Oryza sativa Japonica Group: one gene and its partners. The protein of the gene in region 2 interacts with the protein of the main gene of each other region in a pairwise test. Links are inferred from orthologs where the notes say so. Each region holds a gene or a part of one and is shown on either strand. Other genes may lie near its edges. The genes, in order: transcription factor MTB1, protein TIFY 10b and NINJA1.

Evidence for each region.
Region 1: the proteins of protein TIFY 10b (region 2) and transcription factor MTB1 interact in binary tests that used the Arabidopsis thaliana proteins (3 or more experiments, as listed by UniProt). The link is inferred for Oryza sativa Japonica Group from reciprocal best matches to the Arabidopsis thaliana genes JAZ1 and AT1G01260.
Region 3: the proteins of protein TIFY 10b (region 2) and NINJA1 interact in binary tests that used the Arabidopsis thaliana proteins (3 or more experiments, as listed by UniProt). The link is inferred for Oryza sativa Japonica Group from reciprocal best matches to the Arabidopsis thaliana genes JAZ1 and NINJA.

Annotation. Positions count from the first base shown.
Region 1 is NC_089035.1:7,507,032-7,510,782, forward strand, and holds the start of transcription factor MTB1, read right to left. Parts: upstream 2,430-3,751; 5' UTR 2,104-2,429; intron 1,402-2,103; 5' UTR 1,397-1,401; coding exon 1-1,396.
Region 2 is NC_089041.1:25,571,601-25,575,351, reverse strand, and holds protein TIFY 10b, read right to left. Parts: upstream 2,269-3,751; 5' UTR 2,011-2,268; coding exon 1,878-2,010; intron 1,740-1,877; coding exon 1,589-1,739; intron 1,069-1,588; coding exon 806-1,068; intron 698-805; coding exon 640-697; intron 544-639; coding exon 414-543; 3' UTR 8-413; downstream 1-7.
Region 3 is NC_089039.1:27,978,022-27,981,772, reverse strand, and holds the start of NINJA1 (protein NINJA homolog 1), read right to left. Parts: upstream 2,582-3,751; 5' UTR 2,455-2,581; exon of another isoform or gene 2,307-2,454; intron 1,064-2,306; 5' UTR 949-1,063; coding exon 1-948. UniProt on the Arabidopsis thaliana protein: Acts as a transcriptional repressor. Negative regulator of jasmonate responses. Connects the JAZ proteins and the non-JAZ protein TIFY8 with the TOPLESS corepressors.

The DNA of each region.
Region 1 (3,751 bases), on a different chromosome or scaffold from region 2:
CAACATGATTTAGTGGCTCTTCCCTCCCGTTTGCAGGCTTTCTTCCCCTCTTTCTAGGCCGCCGGTCTTCTAATGCAGGTGGCGGACCTTCGTCTTTACACAAGCCATCCACCTCTGCACCATCCCCATCAATACCAGCTGGTTTTTTAGTCAAAACACCAGGTTTGGAACTGGTCCCAGCACTGAAATCTATTTGCCTGGGAGCTTGAGGCTGCAACTGTTGCTGACTCACTAGTTGCTGTGGCTTTACTAGCTGATGTGATTTCTGGAGCTGTGGTAGTTTCTGAAGTGGTGGTGCTTTCTGAAGCTGAAACTGTGTTGCAGTAGAGCTGTCAACTCCTCCATTGTTGCGCGGTGTGGCTTCATTGCTCACAATCAATATACCGTTGCCAAACTTCTGCTGATGAGAATTCAGGCCCCGAGCCTGACTCCAAGTGAAATTCTGCAAACCTCTTTGGACATTGGGGAGCAATGAGCTCCCACCACCAGTCCTTTGTTCCCACGACCTTTCATCTGCCTCTGACACGCCAGTTCCTGGGCCTGCTGAAGGCCGGCCAAGGTTAAGGTCCTTCCCAAAAATCTTTGCCAAACCTGGTGACTTATCTGTAGGGCCACTCCCCTCGTGTCTCTGAACTCCAGCTTTATTGCCAATTGCCCCAGCAAACACAGATCTTATGGTCTGGAGAGTGTCAGAACTCTCCGCTACCTGTTGCATCGAACCCAGTTCAAGTACACCGGTCTCAAATGGAACTAGCACAATAGTTCTAAATCCTGCAGCATTTGCAAGGTATCCCCGGTAACAGTAATTGGCAGGAAATACGTTACGTTCAGTGTTGGGAATCCACAGGGGCACGCCTGCTGCAAATACTTGACCAGGGCCACCAGCACGGCGTGGAAATGCAAAGTACATAGATGCTAGAAAAAACATCTCTGTGTCTGTCACCTGATCAATGCCTGGGGCATAATCCTCCTCGTCAACACCTCCGAATGCTGAGTGCAATCGCTGCAGCACACGCTTGCGCATCCTCTGTTTGGCCTCGTCACTACCTGCAGAAGCAGCAGGTCCCATCTCACCATCATGAGGCTCACGGCAAGAGCCATCCCCCCATCCAAGGACAAGGTCACCGGACTTTGTGCGCGACAGCTGCCAGAATATGGCATAGTTCCAACCAGCACCAGGACGATCTGATTCGACAAGCTCCTGGAGTCTATTTTGCAAGTCCACTGGCAAAGATGCAGCAACAAGGCCCTCGGATATGGCACCACCTCCTTTTGTCAAGTAAGCAAAAGCATCCGTTCCAAGCACACTGGCGGTGAGCGCTCGGTCCTCGTCAGTCCATGTCCCACCAGTTCCGCCATTGGCACCATCCTCATCAGCCTCCATCTTCATCACCATAATACCTACTCAAGATAGTATATATATCAGGCCAAATATAGCACTAAAAATGCGTAATACTCACAAGAATTGACTGGCTGGACGCCACAAGCACAGTTTTAGACAAATACACAAGCAACAAAATATCATTTGGACTTATGAATAATCGGGTGCTGAACTCAGAATAACAGGAACAAAACTCTCAGTTATCATCCAGCTAAAAACACACTGTGATGAGTGATAAAAAAAATTCACTGCTCTTACGTCAGTACAGATTATATTCGCGGACACATAATCGCTAAATAACCCACTCAAATAACAGAAATCGTCCACAAAGTGTGCAACCAGAATTTATAACTAATCCTGACATTTCATATGGCACCATTTCAACGGATAAAAGACATGGAGGGAAAACACGATTGAATTCTATCCAAACCTGACCCAGCAAAAAGTGATACAACCAGTAATTTTCCTATCTTTTTCACGCTATAGGATACAGCCAAAACACCCGTGCCGATCGCGGCCAATCAGATTCCACCCTAAGCAAACCCTCCTCCCGCCTCAACCCGCCCAGCTCGTCAAACCCCAACCATCCCAAACCCCCATCCATTCCACTGTTTCCGCAACAGCGAGCAGCCACATCATCAACAACAACAACAACAACAAACTAGTACAGTATAGATACGGCAATTCTCACAGTGCAGCAAGGCAGCGGGGGAAAATCTCACCGTGCTGGGGCTCCCGCGCCCGAATCGGCGCCGCGGCCACGGAATCCAGGACGGGCGGGGTCTCCTCCGCGCCCCCCCAAGAAGAAAGAGGCGGGCCCCCCCACCCGCCGCTGGCTGAATCCGAGCACCCTCCCCCCCCCCCGGCGACGGCGACGCCCGGATCTCCCCCCACCCACACCCCACGCGAGCGCGAGGGTCCCCCGAATTCGCCGCGCGCGCAGGAGGCGGAGGCGGAGGCGGAGGCGGTGGTGGTGATGGTGGTGCCTCAGGTTTCTCTGGTTCGCGAGGGGATTTCGGGGGCGGAGGAGGAAGGCGACTTGTGATGTGGAGAGAGAGAAGAAGAGGGGGGGAGAGGTGTGAAAGGAGAACGAGGGTGCCTTTGCCTTTTCTACACCGGTGGGATTGGATCCCGAGCCGAGCCGAGCCGAGCCGGTCCGCGGCTCGTTAGGGGCGGGGGAGCCGGCTCGATCGCCGACCCATGGGCTCTTCTCGGCTTTGCGCGCTGGTGGTTTGTTCATACACAGTGTGGTTGCGTGCTCTACGAGCATTCAAGTCGAGTCGATGGAGAGTGGGAAGCATATGGGTTGATTTGTTAATCGGGTTAAGTTAAAATAGGGGATAATTGATTTATAATATGGTTATTATTATTATTATTAATGGATTCTTTATTCGCTTGTTAATAATTGAGGAGCTAGAAATGGTAACATTTATATCTCATGAGTTTCAACAAATTTAGTCTGTTGAATTTCAAAATCATGGGGCTGGTTCCCCTATTCCAACACACCATCATACTCCCATTGGCACTAGCATGTATAAGATATTTACGAACATTCCTAAAAGTAGCGATGTTGCAGATATAGGATATCGAGCCGCTTTGTGGCGTATGGGAGAGCCGGCTCGCTTCAAGCCATTGTTTATATTTGTTTGGGTCCGCATGTTTTCTTTCACCGATGGATATGGTATTTGTGATATTCATTCAGGCAGGGACATAAATGAATTAATGAGTAGAATTGACCACTGCAGATAATTTAGATGCAATTGGACCCTGCTGCAAAGTGTTGAATGAGCAAGCCAAACTAGTGTTTATTCCCCTTAATTGTAACCTCACGAGCTCCCTGAATTCACCAAGATCGAAGCATGCGCAGGGCTGAGGAGCTGGGGCTGAGGCTAAGGCGGCGTGTTGAGGAGATTTTGAGGAAGGGGAAGGGGAGGAGGAGACAACGCGTGATGTGTGAAGAGGGAAGGTGTGAGAGGAGGACGAAGAGGGTGCCTTGCTTTCTCTACCCCCGGTGGGACTGGAACCTGAGCCGATGGATCCGTGGCTCGTGGGGGTGGAGAAACTAGCTCAATTCAAGCCTTGGACTCTTGTCAGCTCAGGACAATTGGTTTGCTCATATAGTGGCCACGTGCTCTTTGATCATTCGAGGAGACGGAGGTTGAGGAGGGATTGGTCTATTTGTTAATCAGGTTAAGCCACAAGAGGAGATAAGTGATTTATAATGTAGTTTTTTTTACTAGAATGACTTTGGTTTATTAATATTTGTATCCTAATTAGATGGATTCTTCAATCTTATGTTAATATTGAAGGAGCTAGAAATTGTAAAATTTACTGGTGGGTAAATGACAATGTTTTAAATAAATTTAGTTT
Region 2 (3,751 bases):
TAAGCCATGTAACAGAAATCAACAATAGGAATATGAATTATATTCTGAATCCATTACAATCACTTTGCTTTGCATAGAGCAAGGCTAGAGCCAAGGACAAAGCCAGATGATCAGAATTTCAGAAGATACATATATGTTTCCTTTGCAATAACTTTTTACCTTAGCATGGCCATTTTCAGAGTCACCATGTGTTAACATGCCAAAACTTCTCTCAGGCTCTCGGCACTGGTCGTCAATGCTACTACCTTTTTCCTTTACATTCAGAACTATGTGACAAGTGAACAACATAGAAGCACGAACTAAAGAAAAAACACTAAAACATGGGGTATGAGAGAACATATATGATTTGGTACTCTAACGGCAAGCGCATTTCATATATTTTTGAAGAGCTTTGGTGAAGTTTCCATGCAACCTCATTGGCCGCGTTCTATGGGCTTCACGACGGCGTTCGGCCCTAGTCCGAGCCATGGCTGGCTCTCAGGCTCCTTCTTGACTGGGGTTGCATCTGAAGGAGAAGCCTGGTATGGCGTCTTTGCATTAAGACTGTGACAACAAAAGGCGCATATTAGATCCATGAACTGCAGTGATCAAAATACTGAACTTAAACATCATGCAAATCATCACAGCAAAACAACTTACCGATCCTTTCTCTTCTCAAGGAACCTGTGGAGTGATGCCTTCCTAGCAATAGGCATATCTACACAGAAAAAAAGAGGTCACTTGATAACTGCTACAACAAAATTCAACTGGTTATGCGTTCAATACCCCGACAGACATGAACATCAAGAAAGGGCAGAGTAATTACCAGAAGCATTCGCGCGAGCAGGCTTCTGAGCATCGGCCTGAGCTGTAGGCAAGCTACTGACCGGGGCCGGCACGGCCATAGGGGCCTTGGTGTTGTCTGTAACAGCTGCTGGTGCAGGTGCCGCGGCATTCTGAGGAGCCACCGGGCTGCCCTTGCTAGCCAGCTGCATCAAGCCCTTTGCCTTGTCGGCTGGGAAGTCGTTGAACACGAGCACCTTCCCACCATAGAAGATGGTCAGCTGACGCTTCTCAGGCTCTTGTTCCCTGAAATTCATTTGCACAGAGAACACTATGAACACCTGGGATACCAGTATATCACCCCTCCAATTCTGCACCATCTGACTAACTCTATTTTCACCGGCAAGCATAAAAAGGGTTCTTTTTGAAACTACGTTTTCAGTGCCCCAGTTTAAACAAAAAAAAAACCCTAAGTTTGGGGTTAAAATTTTCTATTAACAAAGATAGGTAAAGTTTTTATAGATCCATTAACAACTCCCTGAAGTCTGAATGACCTAGTAACTCTGCTTGCCTAATTCCAATTAGTATCTGAACCCAAAGCAAAAAACAACAAAATGTTTACTCATAACCCTCTCTCCCCTCAACTAGATTTGATACCAAAAACAGTGGCTTCAACCTATTGAGGCACTTACAGCTAAGTTTTGTAGACTGCAAAATTTGTCATTTCTCTGCGTGATTCCAAGAACTAGGACACACACACACATACACCTAAGGAGCAGGAACTGCACAAAAATGAAGCAGAGAACCAAGTGGCATGGCCCCATACCTAGCATCAGCAGCAGAATCGGCGGTGATGGCATCCTGCTGGCCAAAGCCGGCGCTCTGCGGGAAGAGCTCCATGGTCTCCTTCTTCCTCTCCGCCTCCCCGGGCAGCAAGCTCATCGTCGCCGGCGCCGCCCTCGGAGCCTCACCCTCACCTGGAACCGAACCAAAACCCCAAACCTTGTGATCAGATCTCAACACGAAACCGAAGCTGAAGATGAAGATCCAACCAAGCCGAAGCACACCCACAAAAAAAGGGATGAGTTCTTTTTTTTTTCCCTTCTCCTCCTCACCTCTGATGCCGAGGCCGAGCTCGGCGGCGGCGGCGCCGTTCTGGCGGACGTAGCGGCTGAGCAGGCTGCACGCCATGGCGAAGCTCGTCGCCCTCTCCCCGCCGACGCCGACGGGCCTCGCGGAAGCCGCCATCTCTCCAAGCTCCCTTCCTAACTACCCGGCGTCGATCCAATCTCTCCTCCCCGCCGCTCGCCGCGCCGTTCTTGCTGCACCACCCCGGCTCGTCGTCGCCTCGCCGCCGTCCAGCTACCTCCGATTCCTCCTCTCGCCTTCCTGCCGCTGCTGCTAGTGGTTGAGCTGCGAGAGCGAGAGCTAGAGAGAGAGAGGCTCGTGCGCGAGCGTTTATAAGCAAGGAGAGGAGACGGAGACGACGCAGCCGCTGCGGTTTCTGGTCACCACTCAATTCGATTCAATTTAACCTCGCGGATTTTCTTTCTTCCCATTTTTTTCTTCTCCTAATTACCTACTTCCTCCCTCCAAAAAAAACAAACCCTATATATTTTCGTGTCCAACTTTAACTGTCCGTCTTGTATGAAATTTTTTTATAATTCTTTTAAATAAAAAAATATTATTAATATTTTATGTGTGACTTGTCTTTTTAATTTTTTTCATAATTTTTTTAAATAAGACGGACGGTCAAACGTTGGGCATGGAAGCCAGGGTGTCTTTTTTTTTTGGGACGGAGGGAGTACTCCGTACTGGAATAAGTTAATCTAACACAATGTGACATATTGTAGTAATACAAATATGTCTAAATTTATAGTATTATTACGATATGTTTATCCCATAATTTAATTTGGAATGGAGAAAATAGTTGCTCTCTTCGTTCCAAAATACTACTTATAAATTACCTTTTACCTTATCTCAATTATTACCACTGGATTCATCTCTATCCAACTTTGTTATTATATCATAATAAGAGTACTACGTTTTAGAACGAAGGGAGTTACATCTGTTCTAGAAATATACTCCCCCTGTCTCATAATATAGCAACCAATGATGAACACCATCAATCATTGGTTGTTATATTCTGAGACAGATGGAGTAAATAATTATAAAATAGATAGATGATGAACACCATCAATCATTGGTTGTTATATTCTGAGACAGATGGAGTAAATAATTATAAAATAGATAGATGGTACCCTAGCGTCTTAAAAAAAATTCAATTCTAGCTACGAATTTAGACACGTATGTAAGCTACGAATATATGCGTGTCTAGATTCGTAGCTAAAGTTTATCTTTTTTTAGACATAGTAGTAGGTATTAAGAAAGTAAGTAAAATTTATTGGAGAAATATTATGATTTGTTGAGATAAAAAATAAGATGAATGAAATAAATGGACGAGGGTTGTGAACTTTGTGATGGGTTAGAAGGATATTGATGGATAAATAGGTTTACTATAGAAGAATATTTTGTTATTACAAGTAACTGTATTTTGGAACGGAGTAACAGATTTCTTCTTTTAAATATTATTTTATTCAATTCGGTATCATTTCGCGGGCTGGGGGGGACGATGCGAGTACTAAATGCGCGGATTCCGCACGTGGTTCGTGTGCGGAGCGAGGGGGTGGTGGGCCCCACCGCGACTGCTCCCCTCCCCCTCCTCTTTTAAATATTCTCCGGATTTATTTTATAGCGATTTTTCGCCCTTTTCCTTAATTGCGGGTGGGGCCCGCGCCCCCCATGTGCGCGATCGATCGGGTCGGTACATGCAGCACGAGGCGGTGAGCGCGAGACGTGTCGGATCCGGGTCGGGTCGGGTTTTGGTTTTGGGTTTGACCCGACCCGGTTACACCTGGCTGGGGGGGAATCCATGATCCGTCTTGAATTTCTTGATAGTGGTTTAGTAGTAGCAGCAGCTTTGGGTTGG
Region 3 (3,751 bases), on a different chromosome or scaffold from region 2:
AACTTTGTCTTTTGCAGTAAAAGAGGACATAGCCTGAGGTGGAGCACCAAAAGCCCATGAAGAGCTTGTTTCAAGTGTTGGTAGCTGGACAGCTGGATAACCAAAAGCTACCTGAGAGGTACTGCCCATTGTAACAGCTAGTCCATTGTTTGTAGGTGGCCTCAACTGCACTGTACATACTGGAGTGAAATTTGATGCATTGGTAATACTGGGAGGAGCTGAAACCTGAGACGGGACTTGATATGGCACAGCAACAACATTTGATGCTTGCAATGACAAAGGATTTCCTTGTGGCAATTTTCCAGAGCTGGATTCACTTCCTGAGAAACTTGGCTGCCTCTTTCCTTGAAAACCAACTGCAGCATCATCACTGGATCGTTTTCTGTCAGATCCTCTATTGACAACAGATCCCTTAGCACTGTCTTCACGCTGTGCAACCAACCAAGAGTTTGAGCCTTCTGCTTCTGATTCTGCAACATCCTCGTTTTCACCTGTTGAACCATCATCCGTGCTAATTGAAATAGGAGCGTTTTTTACACCACCGTCAGAGCTCTTACTAAATGCATCAGGTTGCTCAGCAGCTGTATTAGGTTTCTTCTGAAAACTTATCTCCTCAGAAAGTAATTTCCGTTTACTAGAGACTGGCTTCTGTTCATTGGATCCATCTGCCACAGGAACAGAAGAACTCCCTGGCTGTCCCCAAAAGTTCCCAAACGGTGGTGCAGCAGGGCTGTGTCTCTGCTTGCTACTGTGTTCTTGGTTCTCTGCATTTGTTTGATAGTAATGCACAAAAGGAGCCTCAGGAGTTTGTGAAACACCTTTGCTACTGCTCTCTTCCACTTGAGGCTCTGCTTTAGGTTCTAGAGGAGCATCTCTAGCCTTAGACTTTCCTGATGTCCCACCCAAAGAGAGACCCAAGCTAAGCTCAAGGCCATTCTCATCGTCCATGTCTAGATTTCACTAGTCGTATTAATAAGTATGTATGGTTACAGACTGTTTCTTCTACACATTGAGAAGAAAATAGATTGTACTATATTGATTCTTTCCACTCAACAAGTCATATCTGCAAGAAAAAAAAAGCCTTTGGTAAGAGACTAAGCATGGCAAACATGTTTCATGTGTATCCGCTGAATCTCCAAAACTTTTGGAAACAAACTGTTATTACCGCCTGACCACCCACCAAAGAAATCTCCAAAAAGTTGGATGGGTTAATTTTTTTTAAAGAAATCTCCAAAAAGTTGGATGGGTTAATTTTTTTTAGATAATGTGGATGGGTTAATTAGAGAGAGAGAGAGGCTTGGAATACACTACATCGATGCTACAGCATGTTAAGTCGGAACCTCTCCGGCCGATGTAATTTAAGCAACAAGATCTACAATAAAGTAAACACTTTGCCCCAAACCAGTCGATTGAATCTAACCCTAATTGGTGATTAAACTTGCTAAACTACTATAATTTAATCAACAGACCTTTATTTCTAACTATAGAATAATAACTTGGACATTAAATTTGCTAAACCAGACATCCTTAGGTTGCACATCTAGCCAAACGCCAGCTAAAATGCTGAACCAACAGAATGGAAACATCTTCTCACGCCAGCAGCAAAATGCTCCAAACCATGGCACTAAGGCTCGTTTTATGGCTATTCTACTGTGTTGCGCAGTGCTTATTTCTTTAAGTTGCTGTGAAAACAAAAAAAAACTTATAGTCGTAATACTACAGTGGCGGATCTAGCATGGGAAACCTTTTTGGGAGCCATCAAACTGTTACTAGTATTAAGGTGTGATTAAACTTGCTAAACTACTGTAATTTAATCAACAGACCTTTATTTCTAACTATAGAATAATAACTTGGACATTAAACTTGCTAAACCAGACGTCCTTAGGTTGCACATCTAGCTAAACGCCAGCTAAAATGCTGAACCAACAGAATGGAAACATCTTCTCACGCCAGCAGCAAAATGCTCCAAACCATGGCACTAAGGCTTGTTTTATGGCTATTCTACTGTGTTGCGCAGTGCTTATTTCTTTAAGTTGCTGTGAAAACAAAAAAAACTTATAGTCGTAATACTACAGTGGCGGATCTAGCATGGGAAACCTTTTTGGGAGCCATCAAACTGTTACTAGTATTAAGGTTTAAGGCAGATTTCTACAACAGAAGCTAGGGTTAACGCTCCCATCAAACTGTTACTAGTATTAAGGTTTAAGGCAGATTTCTACAACAGAAGCTAGGGTTAACGCACAAATTCGAGAAAAATAAGTTCGTAGGTAGACACAGGGAGAGATGGGAAAGAGGATGCGCGTAACGGATGCTGCGGAAGCAGCAGGACCAGGACGAGCTCGCGCGTGATGGATGGGGATCGGCTGCAGGCGACGGCAGCAGGACCAGGACGAGCTCGCGCGTGATGGATGGGGATCGGCCGCAGGCGACGGCGGCGGAAGAGGATGTGCTCACCAGGATGGATGCGGCGGAAGCAGCAGGACGAACGACGAAGCCGCCCTACTCGCCTCGCTCGCAGTCGCGGGTTGGAATGGGGATCGGCGGAGGCGGGTGGGTAGGCAAGGGCAAACTCAAGAAGCATAACTCACGCACGACCACGAGACAGAGCCATCAAAACAGCGAGGGTAATTTTGTAATTTCGCCTACCACTCGATCCACCGGGATTGCTAGCACACACCCCATCCCCACCCTACCCAAACGGTGCAAATATGACGATTGTGTTCACTGTGTCACTGGACAGTGGGCCCGCGCGGATGGAGTGGGCCCGTGGATGGACTGTCGGGTGGGGCTTATCTGTCAGTTGGGGTTTTAGGATAACGTGGTGTTTTGGCTCAAGTGGAGGAATGGGTGAAGGGTGATGTGGACTTGGGAAGTTGGGAGCACGTGAATTGTGTGCACAAAACTAATGTTTGTTTATATTTACTAGCAAAACTAATTGGGAAGTTGGGAGTACGTTCAATGGTTTCAATTTATAACCTGATAAAGAAAGAATGTTAAATTAGATTCATGCCAAGTGGCACAAATGTCTTAGAAAATTTATAACCTGACAAAGAAAAAAAAGTTAAATTAGATTAATGCCAAGTGTCACCGTATGTCCTTTAGAAATTTTGTGGAATAAAAATTACTTATAAGAATATAAGTTGATAAAAAGATATTTTGTGTGACTATGGGTAGTTTGTGGTCTAGATTCTTCTTAAAGAAATTTACGTGAGTTTGGATGAGTAAAAATTATGTGAGCTTACATTTTTCGTTCTATAAGGGTGTTTGGATGAGATTCAGTAACCAAATTACATATGCTAAAAACGGAAATCAAAATTAACAACTTGAAAGTAGGTGGAGCTGGGCAGAGGCAGATCTAACCCTGTTTCGGTTGAACCCCCAAACTTTTTGAGGGATAAAGCAGAATACCTGATGAGGTGTGGGTAGGGAGGGATGCTCACCGGCGAGCGACGATGCGGTGGAAGCTAGAAGGAGGACGCCGGGCGCCACCTCTGCTCGCAGGATGGGGATCGGCGCAAGCGGCGGGTGAGGAGACGAAATTCGAGGCCGAGGCCGAGGCCGGATGGGATGGATTAGGATGCTCACCGGTGAGCGAATGCGGCGGGAGCAGGAGGAGGACGCCGGCGCCACCTCTGCTAGCAGGATGGAGATCGGCGCCAGCGGCAGGCGAGGAGACGGGAGTCGAGGGCGGCGGGCGAGGAGACGGGACGGATTGGGGAGGCGGAGGGCGTGCACGCGGTGTCGCCTGCCT